Linked DNA regions of Drosophila melanogaster. The gene in region 1 interacts genetically with each later gene. Each region holds a gene or a part of one and is shown on either strand. Other genes may lie near its edges.

Region 1 (4,915 bases):
CTGTGTGCCAATAAAAGCCTTCGTAAACAACTAACCTAAGGCAATGATTCTCCGGACGAAGGGCGGCCACTATGTGGCAACCACTAAACCACCAGAAACCACTAACCGCAAACAGCCACCACAACGGCAGCAGGAGGAGTGAAAAATTAAAAAAGAAAAACGAGGAGGCGGAAAAAACACTTGAAAAATCTGTCATAAAATGTTGAGTGGTGTAAAACCAACTGGTTGAAATTGCCAACATATTTGCCTGTTTGTTTAATGAACTCGCCCAACGAGGGTTTTTTTGGTTTGAGGGGGTGAACCTTTGTCAAGAGGGTGGGTTTAACATTTTGATTACTCAATATGTTTGATTTTATGGATTTATGCCACCGCTCTGGTCCACTTTTGCAGCTGTTACATGTGACAGTAAAACCAAAAAACACAAAAACACTTGGCCGGAAAACGAAAGCTAATCCCAAAAAAGAAATGCCATCAAACCCGAACAAGTGTCCAACAAGCCGCCAACACAGAGTGCCCCCAAATTATGAGAGACGCGCACAAAGACACCTGTAAGTCGTTGTCTGCTATTAGTTGAAATCAAAACGAAAACAATGTAAGCCACAGTGAGCAAAAATAATATCTCTGGGGAGCACCAGCTCGAAGTCTCTGGAGGCTGATGGCTGAAGGCTGTAGTCTGCTGGCCACCAACGCAAAGCTGGTCGTCGCCTTTTAGCCAATTTTGATATAACTGAAAGCGTCAATTATACGTGAAATTTATGATGCCGTGTGAAGAATAACACCAACTTGCAACATATTTGGACAACGAAGCCGTTGCCATTGCCGCTGGCAGTTGCCTTTGCCGTTGCCGTCTCGGTGGCCCGTACAATTGCCGCTCTGGGGTCTCTTGTCGCAGATATGTAAGCTGATAATGGGCATTGTAGTGCAGTTTTTCTTCCATTTCTTCTGTTTTTTTTTTCTTCTTTTTTTTTAAGCGAGAAAAGATGACAAAGGAGCTGGGAGACCGCTGCCCAGTACGCCCACCAAATAGAGGAGGATGGAGACCCAAATGGCCAGGGAGACGGCTAGAGAAGACATTTTGGGCACACACCAAGTCAATTTGTTTTATCTATTGTCGAACAAGAGTCATGTCACAACGGCACAATGAGATTTACTATGTGTTGTTGCAGTTGTTGAGGCAGCAGCAGTTGTTGCTGCTGCTGTTGTTGCTGTGGTGGGCAGACAATGGAAAATCAGCAACATGATTCGATATTTAGATATGCGCCTCAAGAAATATGAGCCGCTAACAACAACAGTAAGGTAGGCAGCAGCAACAACAAAGATGCTGCCGCCTGTCTTGTTGGCCGCATGTAATTGCCAAGTTTGTTGCTTAAGTCTTTTGTTTTGGCTGCACTGATAGGCCAGTTGCATTTAAATTTGATTTATACACTTTTGGCCAGCAGATAATTGGATGGAAGTCGCCGCTCTGTCTGTGTGGTTAATAATTGGCCGATGCTAGTATCTTTCGATTTGGTTCCCAGCCGTTAAAGATTGTGGGAGCGTTCCTTCATATTAGGTGTTAATTGCCAGTCCCTTGGAGCTACTAGATCTGGAGCACACACACACATACACACACAGCCCCAGAATGCACTTATTGGCATAATTAAGTTGGAATCGTAAAAAACGGCAGCCGAGAGCCTCGGGCGCGCATGCGTGCAGCAGCCGAAGCGGCAGCAACTCCATTAACTGCCGATTCTGATTCAGATTCCGGGCCCCGGGGCTATATACAGTCGTACGACCAATCAGCGGCTGGCTAAAGAGCACTGCACGAAGAGCAAACTGGTTTTCTTCAAAGAGAAGCACAGAGAGAATCGCTGCGAGTTAAGCTCTCGGGATCGACGGCAACTTGTGCCCAGAGGCAATCAGTCGTTAGTCGAAGCCTGAAGCGCACGCAGCACTCAGCGGAAGTCGTCGCCAGTTTATTTTGAAAGCGGTTTCGGTGGTTCAGACCGAGCCACAGTTCTCTTAAGACTGCAGATCACCACCACCACCACCACCACCAGCAGCAGCAGCGACAGCTCACCTCACCACCTTTACCACCACCAAAACCGCAGCTCTCTCGCGTGACTTGCTCCGCCCCGTGAATGGATGCTGCTCGAGGGCTGGAAATGCCGCAGGATTCGGTTAACGCGTTTAGTCGAGCGCCGTGCTTCGAGCGGTGATGAGCCCCTTTTCTGTCAACGGTAAAACCCCTCCTCGAATTGGATTATTGTGCACCCAAACTGAACGCCACCGACCATCATCCATATAACAATTGTGAAAGTGTTTAATGTGCCGCAATCGAATTAAATTGCTTGCTGATTACAACAAATGATGAAGAGCAATCAACTACAAATGCTCGGTGGAAGAAAAGCAAATCGAAAGATCGACAATCAGCCGACATTTTGCTATGTGTGTGTTTCCATAGTGTGTGATTAATTTCTGAGCCCAGATCGTGTGAGCTAAGGAAAACGGAAATACCTTTCAATTAAATACAATACATTAATATATCAAAATACAATGCCGTCAAAATTGTGTTTAATCAAAGGCGAAAAGTAAAAGTGCAAACAATGTGAATATGCGAAAACGAGTGCCCCATTCCGGGGGAATCGCTGGCCACAGTGTGCTCCATTGATAACGCACACAGGGACGCAAAACAGGGACACAAACACACGAAGCTACAACTACGAAGTGGAATTGAAACATGCCAAGTGAAAGGGAGAAAGAATGAAAACATCCGACTAGTTCATAATGCACGCAGATAATACAAATAATAATAATAATGGGCGCACATAGAGAAATTTCCACTAGAACTTAATAAGTGGGATTCCCAAACAACCTATTGAAAGTATTTGACTTTCTAAAAGCGATGCTTAACACGGATTTTTTTTTCTAAATTTAAAGAATTTTGAATTGAATAACAAATGTTTTATTAGAAAGTTAAAGAACTTTCCGTATAGATGAAGTAGTGTAGTTTTCTTCTGTGCACCGGGAGAAAAGAGAGATTGTGAAATCAGTTTGGTTCTGAATGGGTGGTACGAGCATGGGAAAGCCCCTGATCAAGAGAGCGCGGAAAATGCTCGATGCACTGCTCAATGATTTACCATATGCAACGAATAACGGATCTAGCACGGTCCAAAGCTTATTCAGATCGTTAAGTTCAAGACGGTGATCTGGTTGCACAATTATTTGATAAATCAGAGTATATCCAGAAGTTACTAGAAATAGAAATGGATACACGGTATACTAAAGTTTTGAGGCCGCTAGAAGTTCATTCATCGTTTTGCAAATTGCCAAGAGAGAAGAGTGAAAGTAGCGGTATTAGGGGGTATTAAGGGGGAGGTAGCTGCATCATCCACTTGCAAAAGCCACTTCCGGTCATGCCCTGCAGCAGCAGCAACATCCACATCAGCGGCAGCAGCAGCAGCAGCATGAGCAAGAGCGGCAGCATCTGGGTTTCGATTCAAAGTCAACGACTTCCGTTCCGTGCCAAAGCCGGGAGGAGGCCCCAAGCAAATTACTTAATTAAATGGACAATTAACACCCGAGCAGGAGGAACCGGGGCGGGCTGGGGGGCTAAAGGCCATGGGAGGATAGGATGGCCGGAATGGCAAAAGCAGCGGCAGGGTGGGAAGAATGAGTAATGTGAGCAAGAGTGAAAATATCTGTAAATTAATATGCGCACAAGATGCAAATTGTTTGTGGCCAAAGACACGGCTCCATAGTCGCAGCAGCAGCAACTGCAGAAGCAGCCACATCAGCAGCGGCAGTAACAGCGTTAAATTAACATAAATTGAATTGCATTTGCATTTGCTGCACGTTGCCGCTTTTTGCGGTCTGGCAAAAGTAAATGTTGCTGCGGTGGCTGGTGGCACTTGTTGCGGCTTGCTGCGGTTGCCGCTACTGCAACTGCAACTGCAGCAGCAGCAGCATCATCTGCGTGTCAATTAGCGTTGATGATGCACAGTGAAATAGATTTTGCGCAGCCCGTTTCAATTCCAATTCGTTCGACAATTGTTACAGCTAAAGATCTACAAAACATCAGCGCCTATCAAGTGGAAGTGTCAAGTGTGAACAAAACAAAAACGAGAGAAGCACATACTAAGGTCCATATAAATAATAAATAATAATTGTGTGTGATAACAACATTATCCAAACAAAACCAAACAAAACGAAGGCAAAGTGGAGAAAATGATACAGCATCCAGAGTACGGCCAGTTATTCAGCTATCCAGAGCAAGTGTAGTGTGGCAAAATAGAAACAAACAAAGGCACCAAAATCTGCATACATGGGCTAATTAAGGCTGCCCAGCGAATTTACATTTGTGTGGTGCCAATCCAGAGTGAATCCGAAACAAACTCCATCTAGATCGCCAACCAGCATCACGCTCGCAAACGCCCCCAGAATGTACAAAATGTTTAGGAAACATTTTCGGCGAAAACCAGCTACGTCGTCGTCGTTGGAGTCAACAATAGAATCAGCAGACAGCCTGGGAATGTCCAAGAAGACGGCGACAAAAAGGCAGCGTCCGAGGCATCGGGTACCCAAAATCGCGACCCTGCCATCGACGATCCGCGATTGTCGATCATTAAAGTCTGCCTGCAACTTAATTGCTTTAATTTTAATACTGTTAGTCCATAAGGTAAGCAAACCAACCAACATGCAAAAAACGATCGAATCCCCAAAGCAATAATCGCAAAAAGCCCCAGATCCAAATACATGCGGGTGTAGTGTCTCGTCAAAAAGGCCAAAAGAAAACAGACAAAGTTGATTCAACCCATGCGAATTGGCAATGGCTGAGGGCAAAGTTTTGATGGGGGACGTAAATAATGATGATTTTTGGGTTTATTTTTTTGAGTGATTTATCAACTCCGCATCCCGAAGAGCTGTCTTTAATGAG
Region 2 (4,661 bases), about 18 Mb from region 1:
GATCACTGTATTCTTTGACAATTTTTGGGGTTGTTCGTTGGTCTCGATGTCTGCCGGTTCCTGTTTCGCCAACATCACCTTCTCCGACCTTTTTTGCATTTTTGCAAACTGAGCGAACAGGAGGGGGAAATCGGGTAAGCAGCAGCAGATGTATTTCCAGGACGCACGCCTGCTGCCAGGATGCTGAATATGCATTTCCACTTTAATATCAAAATTTAAATGCTTTCTGCCCCGTCTTGATCCCTTCCGATCTTGAAAATTGCATCTGCTGTGAGGTCTGCCCGGTTCCGTCTGTCGATGCAGGACAAAAAGGACGAGGATGAGGATAAGGAGCGCTCGGCGCAATTATCATCCTCCATCAATGGCAGCGTGGCATCCATAAAGGATAAAGGATGATCAGACGCCAGACGGCAGTTATCCTGCTGACCACAATGCTAAAGCTTAGCAAATGAGACCACAATAGCATGTGTCCCAGATCATAGGTACATTTTTTTAAATTCTGTGTAAGCTAATGGTTTCAAAACTGGGAATTGAGTTACAAACTTTCCATTTCATTTTATAATCTTTATAGTGCAAACTTAAAAAATCAAAACAAAAACAAATCTCGTTTCATATTCTCTATTAAAATAAATTGCACATACAAAATGGACAATTAAATGTGCCGAAAACAATTGGGAAAAGAAGAAATTTATTATTATTATCAAGAAACGTTTGGGAATTTTTTTTAATTCCCATGGAATTACTCCATACATACTCCAACTGAGTACATACATACACACATATGTATGTACGTGTGATATTTGGCCCACAAAGTTCACGATCAAAAGCATTAGGGCAATTGAAATAGTTTTCTAGTTATATGAGCCAGACCTTGTAAACCCTGCGAAAAAGAAAAAGAATTGCTTTGAACCTGGCTGAACTACACACACACTAAGGTGAGGAGAATAACTGTTAGTGAAGATCAGAGCACTATGGCCAAAATCCCAAATGCAGGCCTAGAGCAACAACAACAAGAAGCAGGAAGAGCAACAGCAGGAGAAGATGTGGAGGAATCCCTGATCAAGGTGCAGAGTTAGAGGCATAAAGGTAAATTATAAGGGAGGCTCTATACACGCGAATAGCAGGCACAAAGCGAAACCATAGTAAATAAGAAACAGCTGCCAGAGAGAGAAAGAGAGCGATGGCGTCTCATAATTTTCTCTCTTGAGCTCTCTTTTTCGCTCCATCCACGCTCAGGGCTGACAGCCCTTAGCCAGAAAATGGATAAATTTTAAATTATTTGAATAGATTGCTTACAAATTATAAGTTTAAATAAATTGAAGCATTTTTAATGTAATTTAGTTACCGTTTCTTGATTTTAATTAAATTGTAAAACAGGAAATGTTATTCAAATCTACAGCCCAAATTGTCACTAAACGTTAATAGTAATTATAAAAAACTTAAATTTCCAAATATGTCTTACTGGCATACCTAAACTTCTAAATATCTTGAAAACATATACTAAAAAAAGCCAAATCTGACGGGAGAATTTCTGCGCGCCAGTACTATCCGTTACTCTCCAGCTGAGCTGCGTCAGCGACGTCGCGCTGGTGCGAAGCTATAAAAGGCTGCACCACCGTTTATTTGTTGAAAAAAAACTCAGCGAAAGGTTGTCTCGAAGTTGTCGTCGTCGGTCTTTGTGTTTCGTATCGTTTCGTTTCGTTTGTTCCCGTTGCGCGCAGACAAACAACCAACCAAATTCAAAATGTTTTAACGGAAAACATTCAAATTCGAAGAAGAACTCTATCGCTTAATTTAATGCCAAATAAAATACGCAAGCAGCTTGTGCATTTTCATTAGCATTACGCGTGTTCGTTTAGTTCGTCTGTTTTAATTTAAATAACGAAATAAGAAATAATCCACTACCATGGGTCTATCGGATATACCAGCCAACTATATGCAGGGCAGCCATCCGCACCTAACTCTCCATCCGCAGCAGCAGCACCACCAGAATCAGCAGCACTTGCAGCATCTGCAACAGATGCAGCAGCTGCACAACGCCATGCCCACTCCCGCCCAGCAGGCCGCCCAGGTCCTGGCCATGGAGTCCAACGAGCTGCTCATGAGCACCAAGGACAAGCTCTCTAGCAAGAAGAAAATGCACTTGCTCAAGAAGATCAAGAAGCGCTTTGGATTGGGTTAGTAGTCGCATTAGTACCAGGCTAAGAATCGGGCTAAGGATATCGATGGATATATTAACAAGAATATTCAGTTAATTTCCAAGTCGTTTTTCAAAGGACGTACAATTCTCGGAATATCCAGGAATAATTTTTAAAATCAGTGTGATTGGGTTCTAAAGTAGATGTAGTACATTTTAACAATATAAAACTTCCTTCGTGATATCTGACCATTAAAGTCTTGAAGCAAATGTAATTACCGCGTGCGAAAATGCCTTAAATACATTATTCATCGATCTGGGAATCGTATTTTTATCTCCAGCGATATTCCCACATAATATTAGCATGTGGTCTGACCTATCGCTCTTTCATTCATTCGGTTAATTAAAGCGGCAAGATAAATAAGCGAGAAACACAGCCAGCCGCAATCATTTATGCATACATTAGCATTTTACGTCTCAAGAACAATAACAAATAACGAAAGATAAGAGCAAAAACCGAAAAAGTTTGAGTTAGTTTAAAACAAAAAGCTAATGAATAAATGCTCACCCAGAACACGCCCAGTTTGCGATTATAATAGTAATTGTTTTTTTCCGACTAGATAGACACAAAAGAAGCGCGAAAAAATCTTAAATGTGAAATTCTCTCAAGGCTTTTTCGGCAGAATTTAACATCGACACTCCGACTTTTTCGCCGGAAATGTCAGTTCTCGAAAACTGAATTTTTCAATCGCACCCAAGTAACCGCAAATTGATCGAGAAGACCAGATCGGAGGGATCTTGAGTTGAAGAAAATACCACCAAAAGCAATTTTCCCAAGGAGCGATTATGTTTATCATAACGATTATCTGGGCTGGGGAATTTGTTGCGCTGTTTTTGTTTTGGTTGCAAGCAGCTGAGCTAAGGAAAGACAAAAAAAAAGAAGTAAAAACAACAAATCACCTTTTTTTTTTGACTTTGGCTCAATTGCATTCTCGGCTTCAATGCTCTCTTTTTTGGCCAAAGCAGGCGAAGCAAAAGCAAAGCAAAGCCAGTGACGCATAGGCTAAGCTTCTACCCCTTTTTTTTTTATTTTTACTGGCCTCCTACGAACAATTGTGGTCGCACAACTAGCAGTCGAATATCAACGAACGACGCAATATGAATAATAAAAAAAAGTTATTAATTTAGTCCTTCAGCACTGGAATAGTTTTATTTGTCAAAAGTGGCTATGCAAAATATTGTACTGTATTTAAGAGATTCCATTTTTCCCGCCACCACTGTTTTTGCATCTGCCTCATTCAGTATTGCTTGTTGTTGTTGCTGTTGCCTTTCGGGGAATTGTACGCGAAGCGCCGTTGCCGCCATCGGCAAAAGCAAAAACAAAGGTAGCAACAACAGAAAAGCAAACGATCCACGGCAGGAGAAGAAGAGAAGAGCCATGGACTAGCGGGATGAGAAGAGGAAGAGGCGTGGCTTTGAAGCTTGAGTGTGTTTGGAGTTTTTATTTTTCTGCTGAGCGCTTAAGCCCGCAATGGTTTATGTTTTATGCGGCGGCTCCAGTCCGTTTGTTTTGAACGTGCGTTGCCTATCGGTAATCAATGAAATTGCTTTGTTGTTGTTTTGCTCGGCGTCAGCTGCTTTTGCTTTTTTGTACCTGCATTTTCTATTACATTTCGTACCTTGTTTGTTGTTGTTATTATTATTGTGTGTTGGCATGCCACGTTTGCTTTGGCTAAAAAGTTTATCTGCTCTTGGCTTTTACTTAGCTTCTCACGGTTTACTTTTCGAAATGGTTTGCTTGGCCGTGCGTGTGCTTGCAACTGAGCACTGCCAACTCGTCTTTGAGACCCCGATTATGGGACACACAAATACAAATTGTCGCCCGACCTTCGATTGTTGGCCAAAAGTAAATAGTCAATTGTTAATGACGGTACGCACCCCCCAAGGAAGTTTGTACATATAAGTACATATCTAAGTACAATGTTGGTCACCATAAATATACATACATTAACTTCTGAGACCTAAAATGTTATTCTATTAAGTTCAAAATATGTAAGTCGCCGCTTAAAAACAAATTTCTGTAAACATAATGTTTAAGAGACATTTTGCTAATATTGCTTCAATATTAACATATTATTGTTGATTTCCCAGTAAGCCATTTTCTGTTGAGCACAGTTGTATGCTGAGCATTTTCGCTACATACATCTGTTGCTATATTTTTCCACTTTCATGCATCCCCTTCGTTATTTTTTCACTTATTTTTCTCCCCCTCATGAGGTCATCATCTCGATGTGTCATTCTGAAGTTTGCGTATAGTTATTGTAGTATAGTATAGTTCATATAGCTGATATGAAGCACTGCTTAATTTCGCGCTTTGATAACGGACACTGCGAAATGTTATCTCTACAAGTGTAAACGTTTTGCAACTGATTAACTATAAATACCAGTTGTTAACTATTGGGGATATACACAAAGATGCTTGTGCTAACTTTGCTAGCTTTTTTCTAAAGAGCTAGCTATCTTG
Region 3 (7,873 bases), on another chromosome or scaffold:
GTGTGGTGTGATGTCTTTGCGATAAGAATTTCGGCTACAATGCCGCGAATTTGTTGCCTCAGCCGGGAACTTTCCTTTGCCATCGATAACAAGATAACAAATAAAATGATTTAATTTATACTTATGAATCGAAAACTCCCACGGCGTCGCATTGCAGTAACTGGCTTGTCAGTTACTCTCAAACTGTGTCCACAGCTTTTCCGCGGTGGCGCGTAGAAAAGCTCACGCCACCTTGCAGTGGCTCTAAAAACTTTTAAAAACTAAATCTCTTTAGTTAGATTAGATCTCTCATATTACAAGCCAATTTTATGTATATCCCTGATCTTGATGTTTATATTTTTTAAATTCAGTGGCTTGACATCCCAGAAGTTTGGAGTACTAATCTCACGTCTACACATTTTTAGTTCTTGAACAGAATATATTTAACAAAATATAAATATTCAATGATTTTGAAAGAAAATGGTACGGTCTATAGTTTTGTTTCGGATTTTATTAATCTACAGTTTTGGGTATGCTTATTTTAGATCCTGTTGGTTCGCAGGTAATCTTCATCGTCATCTCCATCGGCATCCTCCACCACGCTGTACGAATTCTTGCCGGCACCATCCTTGGCCAGATGCGTTTCGAAGAACTCCTCGACAGTGTCTGTGTTCCACTTGGTTATGGACAACGTCTCCTGCACTTTGCCACTGGCATCTAGGAGCTTAACCACGGGATCCAGTCCTCTTACGTATTTGATCTGCAGGTTGGGGAACTTGGCAGGTCGGCCGCTTTGAATAAAGGCCTGAATCTGCGGATAGGCCCGGAATTTGCAGGTGCACACCTCCAGAATTGCCTTGGCATATGTCCGCTGTGCCGCCGGCTGCTGATCCAAAGTGCAGCATTGCTTACACTGAGGCCTGAAATGTTAAAAATGTTTTGGATGAATAAAAAAGAGCAATGGGCTCAAGCAGAAACTATAAAAAGTTAATATAATTTTTGTTATTAAAAACTGAAGGAAGAATCATATTTAGTCAGTGGTATGGAGGAGCTTACTAAGTCAAGCTAAGCATTTTTGGTTGGAATATTTAAAATGAGGTATGAAATTTAACCTGATCTAATTAGATTAACATATTAATTAAACAATTTTCAGGTCTTCTTATGGAATGATTATAGCATAGTTCATGGGTATCTTTACAACTCCAAAGCTAGATTAATTAAATGTTATTGAACCCACTTGATGGTATCCAATCCGAAATCATCCAGTTTTTCGCAACTGGAACACATTAACTGGGCCTTAATAAAACCCAACGCCCGGCAGTCGGCGGCCGTCAATTCGGCTTGAATTTGCTGGCACTGTAGGGTATAAAATATATATTAAAAACATGTCTTAGCTTCAGACATAACTTACACTTAAAGCCAGTAGAAGAAATATAGCACATTTATGCATTTTTGTGGCTAAATTCTAATTAAATTTACTACGTCCACGTCGTTGTTTACAAAATTTTCTTAGCTTAGTGATGAGTAGAAGGGAAAATAACATTATTTAGGCTTATCGATTATATTCGGGTTGCTTGTCTTTTCATCGTTTAGGGTATTCCGTATACTGTTTATGAATTAGACAATTAATCAAACTTTTGAACAGCTTTAATAAACTTATTATTATTATTTCTTGATATTTTTTCAGCAATTTGAAACTTTTGTCACTATAAAAGTGTACAAAATAATTTCAGGTTTTTATATTCAAGTACGCAAGTTTATTTTCCGATGTTAATAACTAATTTCATGTGATTCGATAGCTTATCACGCTTACATCCCTACAATCGATACGGACTGCCCAGCAGCTGGCCACCACTAGCTCAGAAATCGAAGATTATTCGTGGTGGTGCATTTGTTTTTTTCGCTTCGCTCGCGAAGTGAGCCCAGTTTTAAATTATTTAAATTGCGTATAGTGAAGCCACTTGAAAGCGAAACGCCTACTGTCGCAGTTCTGCCAAAAAACCAACAGTATTAGCTGTGTGCGTGTTTGGCAACAACAAGTCAACAAAATTCGAACAAAATCAATAAAACGGAAACGTGAGAGAGCGCTGCGCAAAAGAGAAAAGCGAACGCAATCGCAATCGACCAACGCATAGAAGAAAACAAGGTGAATAAATAGAACATGGCATAGAAAAGGCGAACTAGAATCAAATCGAATTAAAATCGGGTACAGAAATAGACGTGAAAAGAAAGGGCGAAGAAAGGGAAACAAATAACCGTTACAGGAGCACTCCTGGAGATTTAAGGCTCTCTCTCCCCCTCCTCAGCACTTTAGCCCCAGTTGTGCGTTTGTGTGTGTACATGTGTTTATGTTTTGTTTAGCACATTAATAATCTTAATTCTGCTAGATTTCGCCACTCAGGTGCTAAACGCTAAAAAAAAAAGTGCACACTCCGATAAGTCTACCCCTGTGTCGGTGTACTTGTTTATTTAATTCATATTTACTCAAGTAAATTAATTCATTTGCCCTTGTACAATAACAACAAGCGCCGTTTGCTTGGAAACTCGTTCTCGCAGTCGACCGCCTCCCCTCTTCGCTCCTAATCTTATTCTTTCTCTATTCCACTGCAATACCACTGCAGCTGTCGGTGCCTGTGTGTTTTTCATTCAATCCAGGAAATTGCCCCTTGAGAGACCTTCCATTCAGACAGCTCCATCTGCATCTTCTTCAGCTTCTTCCGCTTGCATCTTCATCCTCTCTCTTGTGCTCCCGGTCCCGTTTAACTGGTTTACTTTATGCTTTATTCCACTGATGCCTCCTCTATCGCCCTCTCCCTTGCGCACACCTGCTGCTTGGCAGCTGTCCACGCGCTCAAATTTCTTATCACCGAACAAACTCCGGCTGAAACCCAAAACCTGGCCCAAACTGCGTTGTTACTTTTCCACGGCAATTCCCTAATTTCCAACGCCTTTTGTCACGGCCCTGTTGCTTTCTCCCTCTCGAGAGCTCTAACTCCCTCTCCAATCCTATTTTTACATACACGCATACGCAGTAAAACTTGGCTATGACAAACCACATATTATTCTATAGATACCAAATACTGTTTTTTTAATACTGTATATTGTTAGATACAAAAACACTTTTGGAATTACAAATCCAGATGGAATTATTAAAAAAAAATATGTATATATTTTGCACAAAATTTCTCATCTGTTTCAAAGGTAATTCCATATGTGTTGACATTTAGAAATGTAAAAGCTTTTCTATTTATTTTAAAGATTCAAAAATTATTTTTAGCCGAATGCATACGCATTAAAAGCAAATCGATTTATTCGGTTTAAACATCTATTGTTTTTCAATGGAAAAACCAGTGTATTTTCCAGAGAACCTTACCTAAGTTTTTATATGTATATATTACATTGAAAATAATTATATGCCAGCTTTGAAGCATGTTAACGATAAGTGTACTTGAGCCCGATTGTTAGTGAATTCTTAAAAAATAAGAATGAGCAAAGTCGCTTTACATTGGGATTGATTGTGAAATCCTCCAAATCTTTGTGTGTCACTATAGAGTCTTATTTAAAATGATATTACCAAATGTATTGGCAAAACGCAGATAAGTTCAACTGTACAATGTGCAATCTCTCGGTTTCGTGCAATTTTGCAATTTTTCAAATGCCCGCACATCTGACTCATCCACAGGTAACTGTAATTACTGCCTAGCATCCACTTGCTTTCCGCACCTGTGGATGGTATTTGTCACCTTATCAATACGGTTTCTCTGTGTTGACTGTGATTTTAGATATTCCTGCGCACGAAAAAAATTGGACACCTCTAAATTTAATTATACAAATAGTACTGTTTATGTTTTCCTATATTTATTGAAGTATTTTAAAGTGTGTATACAAAAGTAATTATTGAGTGCATATGAAACCAAAGTCTTTTGTATTCTGATACAAAAATCATATCATATATGATATCAAAATTTATTTCTGTGTACTCTGCTGTTTGTGAGGTCAATTTTTGATAAGCCACCAGGTGCTCATTTAGCTCGTTGGCGCCTATTAGCTCATTATTCAAGCTTACGTCCGGCTCACCCACATACCCACAGATATAAAAAAAAACTATACAAAAAACCCATATATGCACTCGCAGAAATTAGGGCCAACTTAAGCCCACTCACGCAGTTTCTTTATTGGCTTGAACTATTTTTGTTTTGCTCGTTTGGCTCCGTTTATATTTCAATTGACCGAAAGGTCATCTTAATTGCATTTGTGTTTTGCGACTGTCGCACTGTCCTACTCGCACTCGCACTCGCACTCTTCTCCTGCCATTTCAGCTGTCAACTTTCACTCGTGAGCTTTGTTGTTGTTATTTTTAGACGTAGGTGCGTGCCACACATGTGATGGGAGGAAAGGGGAAATTTTATGGGGCTTAGGGCTCCGTTGAGCTTTACAAAGCAATTGGACACGGTTTAGTCCAAGGACTCGCGACTGTGGATTGAGATTCCGACTAGTGACGAGAGTCCTAGAAAATAAAAGCTAAATGCTATCTTATATATAATTGACTGTTTGAAATAAAGTACAAATATTAGATTTAATGTGCTAACATCCAAACAGGTGACGAAAGCAAAACTTTTTAAAACGAAGTGTATATTTATTATAATTGCAACTGTTTCGCTCTTCTTTCCTTCACTTCCAAGTAGAAGAATATAACTTTAGTTTTGATTAATAATGTAATATTGCATGTTTGAATAAAAAAATAGTTCAATTTCACTGACATATTTCCTAATATAAATTTAGACAGTTAAGTTGGCATGACTAGCGTTTATTGAAAGCACTTAGAAAGTTTTAATTTACGTTAAGTGGAATTCCGAAAATTAGTGTTTCTGAAAACGACACTGTTATTGTGGATCACAACTAAGGCGAGCACTAATTTGTTTATGTTTTTTACGCCCACTCAAATGGTCGCCACTCAAATGTTGCTTACAAATGATGTATTTGTTTCAGCAGAATTACTCAACATCGTTGTTTCTGTTGATCATTCGAATTATTTTGTTTATATACGCAACGGGATCAGTTACATTCTAATGAAGCTCATTCTTTCTCCGGAAAAGATCTTGTTTATAACAAGGCGTTTCGAAATCCTAAGGTTAAATCAATTTTTTATACGTTTAAATACATCTTGTATTAAACAGTTTTTATATATTGAAGTGCCTGAAGTGTTCGCTATGTTAAGTGAGAGTGTAAACAGAAAAACCAATTGATAATGAATGCAGGCTGTGCAAATGCCACAGCCGCTTGGGTTCCGCTCGCGATTCCGGCCAGGTAAATAAACGATGTCATTTTTTTGTTAAAAATTTATGAAATTCGATTTTCTGTTTCTCGTTCTCACTTAGGTCGAGGAGCATAGGTTGTAATTGTGAGAAGGAGGCGGCTGGCGGTGCTAGGCAGGCAATTAACCCACACAGACCCGAACACGAGCTTACATTTTTGATTTGTTTTTAATTGCACTTCGTTTTTGTTTTGCAGCCGCCTGCCAGCCAAAGCCAAGAATTCCACATTACAAAACACCTTAAACTGCATTGCCACATTCCCAAGTAAGCTGCCATGAGTTAAGATCAAGATGCGAGCCCAGGATCTGCTGCTGCTTGCCACCGCTTTAATCGGCGCTTACCTACCGCTCACCGCCGCCTGTTCCTCGCGTGCCATCGCTAAGCCGCGGCCAACAGCTGCACCGATCCTGCCGCCGGATAATGTGGAAATATCCACAACGCCGAGACCGAATGTCACCTTCCCGATCTTCGCCTGTCCACCGACCTATGTCGCCTGGTATTGCCTGAACGATGGCACCTGCTTTACGGTGAAGATCCACAATGAAATCCTATACAACTGCGAATGTGCGCTGGGATTTATGGGTCCGAGGTGCGAGTACAAGGAGATTGATGGCTCGTACCTGCCAACCAGGAACCGTGTGATGCTAGAGAAGGCCAGCATTGTTAGCGGAGCAACGCTGGCCCTTCTGTTTATGGCCATGTGCTGTGTGGTTTTGTATCTGCGACACGAGAAGCTGCAAAAACAAAAGCTGCACGACAGCACCACAACCACAACGACCGACGGTGGCTGTCAGAACGAGGGCATGGACGAGGTGGATGGCTTGCGACCCTTACGTCCAGTGAGACGTCCCTTTGGACCCTGCCGCATCCTATCGCTGGAGGAGGCCCACCTTCAAGCGAAAGCCTCCAATCGCCCCAGGCATTGCAACGAACTTTTGCGCTAACTAATTAGCCTGGCTGCTCATTTGTTTTTAAATGTCTAACATGTCCAACTGTTTATTTTAACTGCTAAACGAAACTATTATTTTTGCCATCTGATTGAGATGGCGAATGCCGTAGTTCTAAGTGCCTACTGACGTGCCTATAACACATTTAGATCAAGTATTAACGAACGAAAACTGATTGCTCAGAGAGAGATAAAAATAAATCTAGATATAATTCAATGCAATTTTGGCAGCTAGCCGCCCATTTATTTATTATACACCTAATTTTATTAAAAAAAAAAACGCGTGAACTAATATCGTCAATAAAAGCGAGAACTAAATCACCAGCTTTACTTTCAATTTAGATAATGCAAATTTCGAATACCTTTAGAATTTGATTGGGAATAGTTTGCACAAAATTCACCATGGCCTTGATTTTCCTTTTATTTCAGAGATGCATGTAAATACTAAACAGTTGATCTGTTAAGCTACACGAAAATAAGGATATCTTAAATTTAGTATGTAAGAAAGAAAAGAATTTCTTAAGAATCTTCTTTTCTGAGACGTCACCTTAGGCTGTCAAAAAAATTCATATGCTTTGTAACCCCTTAAGCACTGAATTAATTTTCCCGTTTTCCGTTTGTAATTTCCAGTCATGCCGCACAACAACCAGCCGTCTCCCGGGGATGATCAGTTGGGACCGCCAAAGGCGGACTTCAGTGCTCCGCCACCGTACGAGGCGAACGTTGGCCATGGCCAGCAGGTAGCACTGCCGGCTCAGATGCCACCGCTGGCCTTGGCCACACCCGATCCCAGTCAGATCCCGATACAGATGCAAGTGCAGCTGCCGAGCCAGGCGGACCTTATGAATGCACAACTGCCGCCAGAAATACACGGGAAGTTGCCCACGTACGAGGAGGTTCAAATGGAAAAGTCGCTGAACGGAGAGCTGCCGCCCGCCTTTTTGACTTTACCCTCCTCGCAGCAGCTACCGCCGCCGCCGAATCCGCTACTGCCGCCAAATCCGCTGCGCGATGGAGCCGCTGCTGTGCGATCTGCCCAGCCGGCACTCACGTTCATCGCCATCGATGCCAGCGATCCGGAAAATAGTCTGTCCACCACCGACAACTTGCTCGGCACGGACATCATGTTCATCACGGCCTTCATTGTGGCCTTTTTGTTTAACTGGATCGGCTTCCTGATGCTCACCTGTTTCTGTCACACAATCGCCGCCCGATATGGAGCATTGTCGGGATTCGGATTGTCGCTGGCTAAATGGACGCTGATCGTGAAGCACTCGACGGACTTGGCCTCGCACGAAAACTCCTGGCTCTGGTGGCTGATCTGTGCCTTTGGCTTCCTGATCAGCATACGCGCTTTAATACAGTATGTCAGCATCAAGCGATCGTGGCGCCTCCTTTCCGCCTCTGCCCAGGAACGGCTGCTATTCTTTTACTAGGTGCACCTGGAGGCTTTCCAGTGGTCGTCTTGTAAATACGTTGTGGGTGGCTAGGAGGCTCGAATGCTACCAACCAACCGATCCCAACACCCTCTATTCCCCAGACCCAGCACACGAAAAATCAACGCGAACTTATTTTGCAGAGTTCTCGAAATCACTATGGACTTGAAAGTATTCCCTCAAATGTATTAGTCAAT

What was found.
Region 2: of Ser (region 1) and neur, changing one enhances a phenotype caused by changing the other (phenotypic enhancement), as found in Drosophila melanogaster (one study listed by BioGRID).
Region 3: of Ser (region 1) and Ndfip, changing one suppresses a phenotype caused by changing the other (phenotypic suppression), as found in Drosophila melanogaster (one study listed by BioGRID).

Annotation. Positions count from the first base shown.
Region 1 is NT_033777.3:27,191,248-27,196,162, reverse strand, and holds the start of Ser (serrate), read left to right. Parts: upstream 1-1,895; 5' UTR 1,896-2,219; intron 2,220-4,038; 5' UTR 4,039-4,420; coding exon 4,421-4,657; intron 4,658-4,915.
Region 2 is NT_033777.3:9,030,695-9,035,355, reverse strand, and holds the start of neur (neuralized), read left to right. Parts: upstream 1-1,624; 5' UTR 1,625-1,906; coding exon 1,907-2,177; intron 2,178-4,661. UniProt on the Drosophila melanogaster protein: Involved in neurogenesis. Interacts with other neurogenic proteins in the specification of the neuroblast versus epidermoblast cell fate.
Region 3 is NT_037436.4:17,648,244-17,656,116, reverse strand, and holds the start of Ndfip (Nedd4 family interacting protein), read left to right. Parts: upstream 1-1,836; 5' UTR 1,837-2,125; intron 2,126-5,490; exon of another isoform or gene 5,491-5,584; coding exon of another isoform or gene 5,585-6,238; exon of another isoform or gene 6,239-6,555; intron 6,556-6,870; 5' UTR 6,871-6,872; coding exon 6,873-7,676; 3' UTR 7,677-7,873. Other genes in the region: CG7484 (uncharacterized protein), read right to left, coding at 521-899, 1,217-1,335, 1,391-1,429; Krn (keren), read left to right, coding at 5,585-6,238.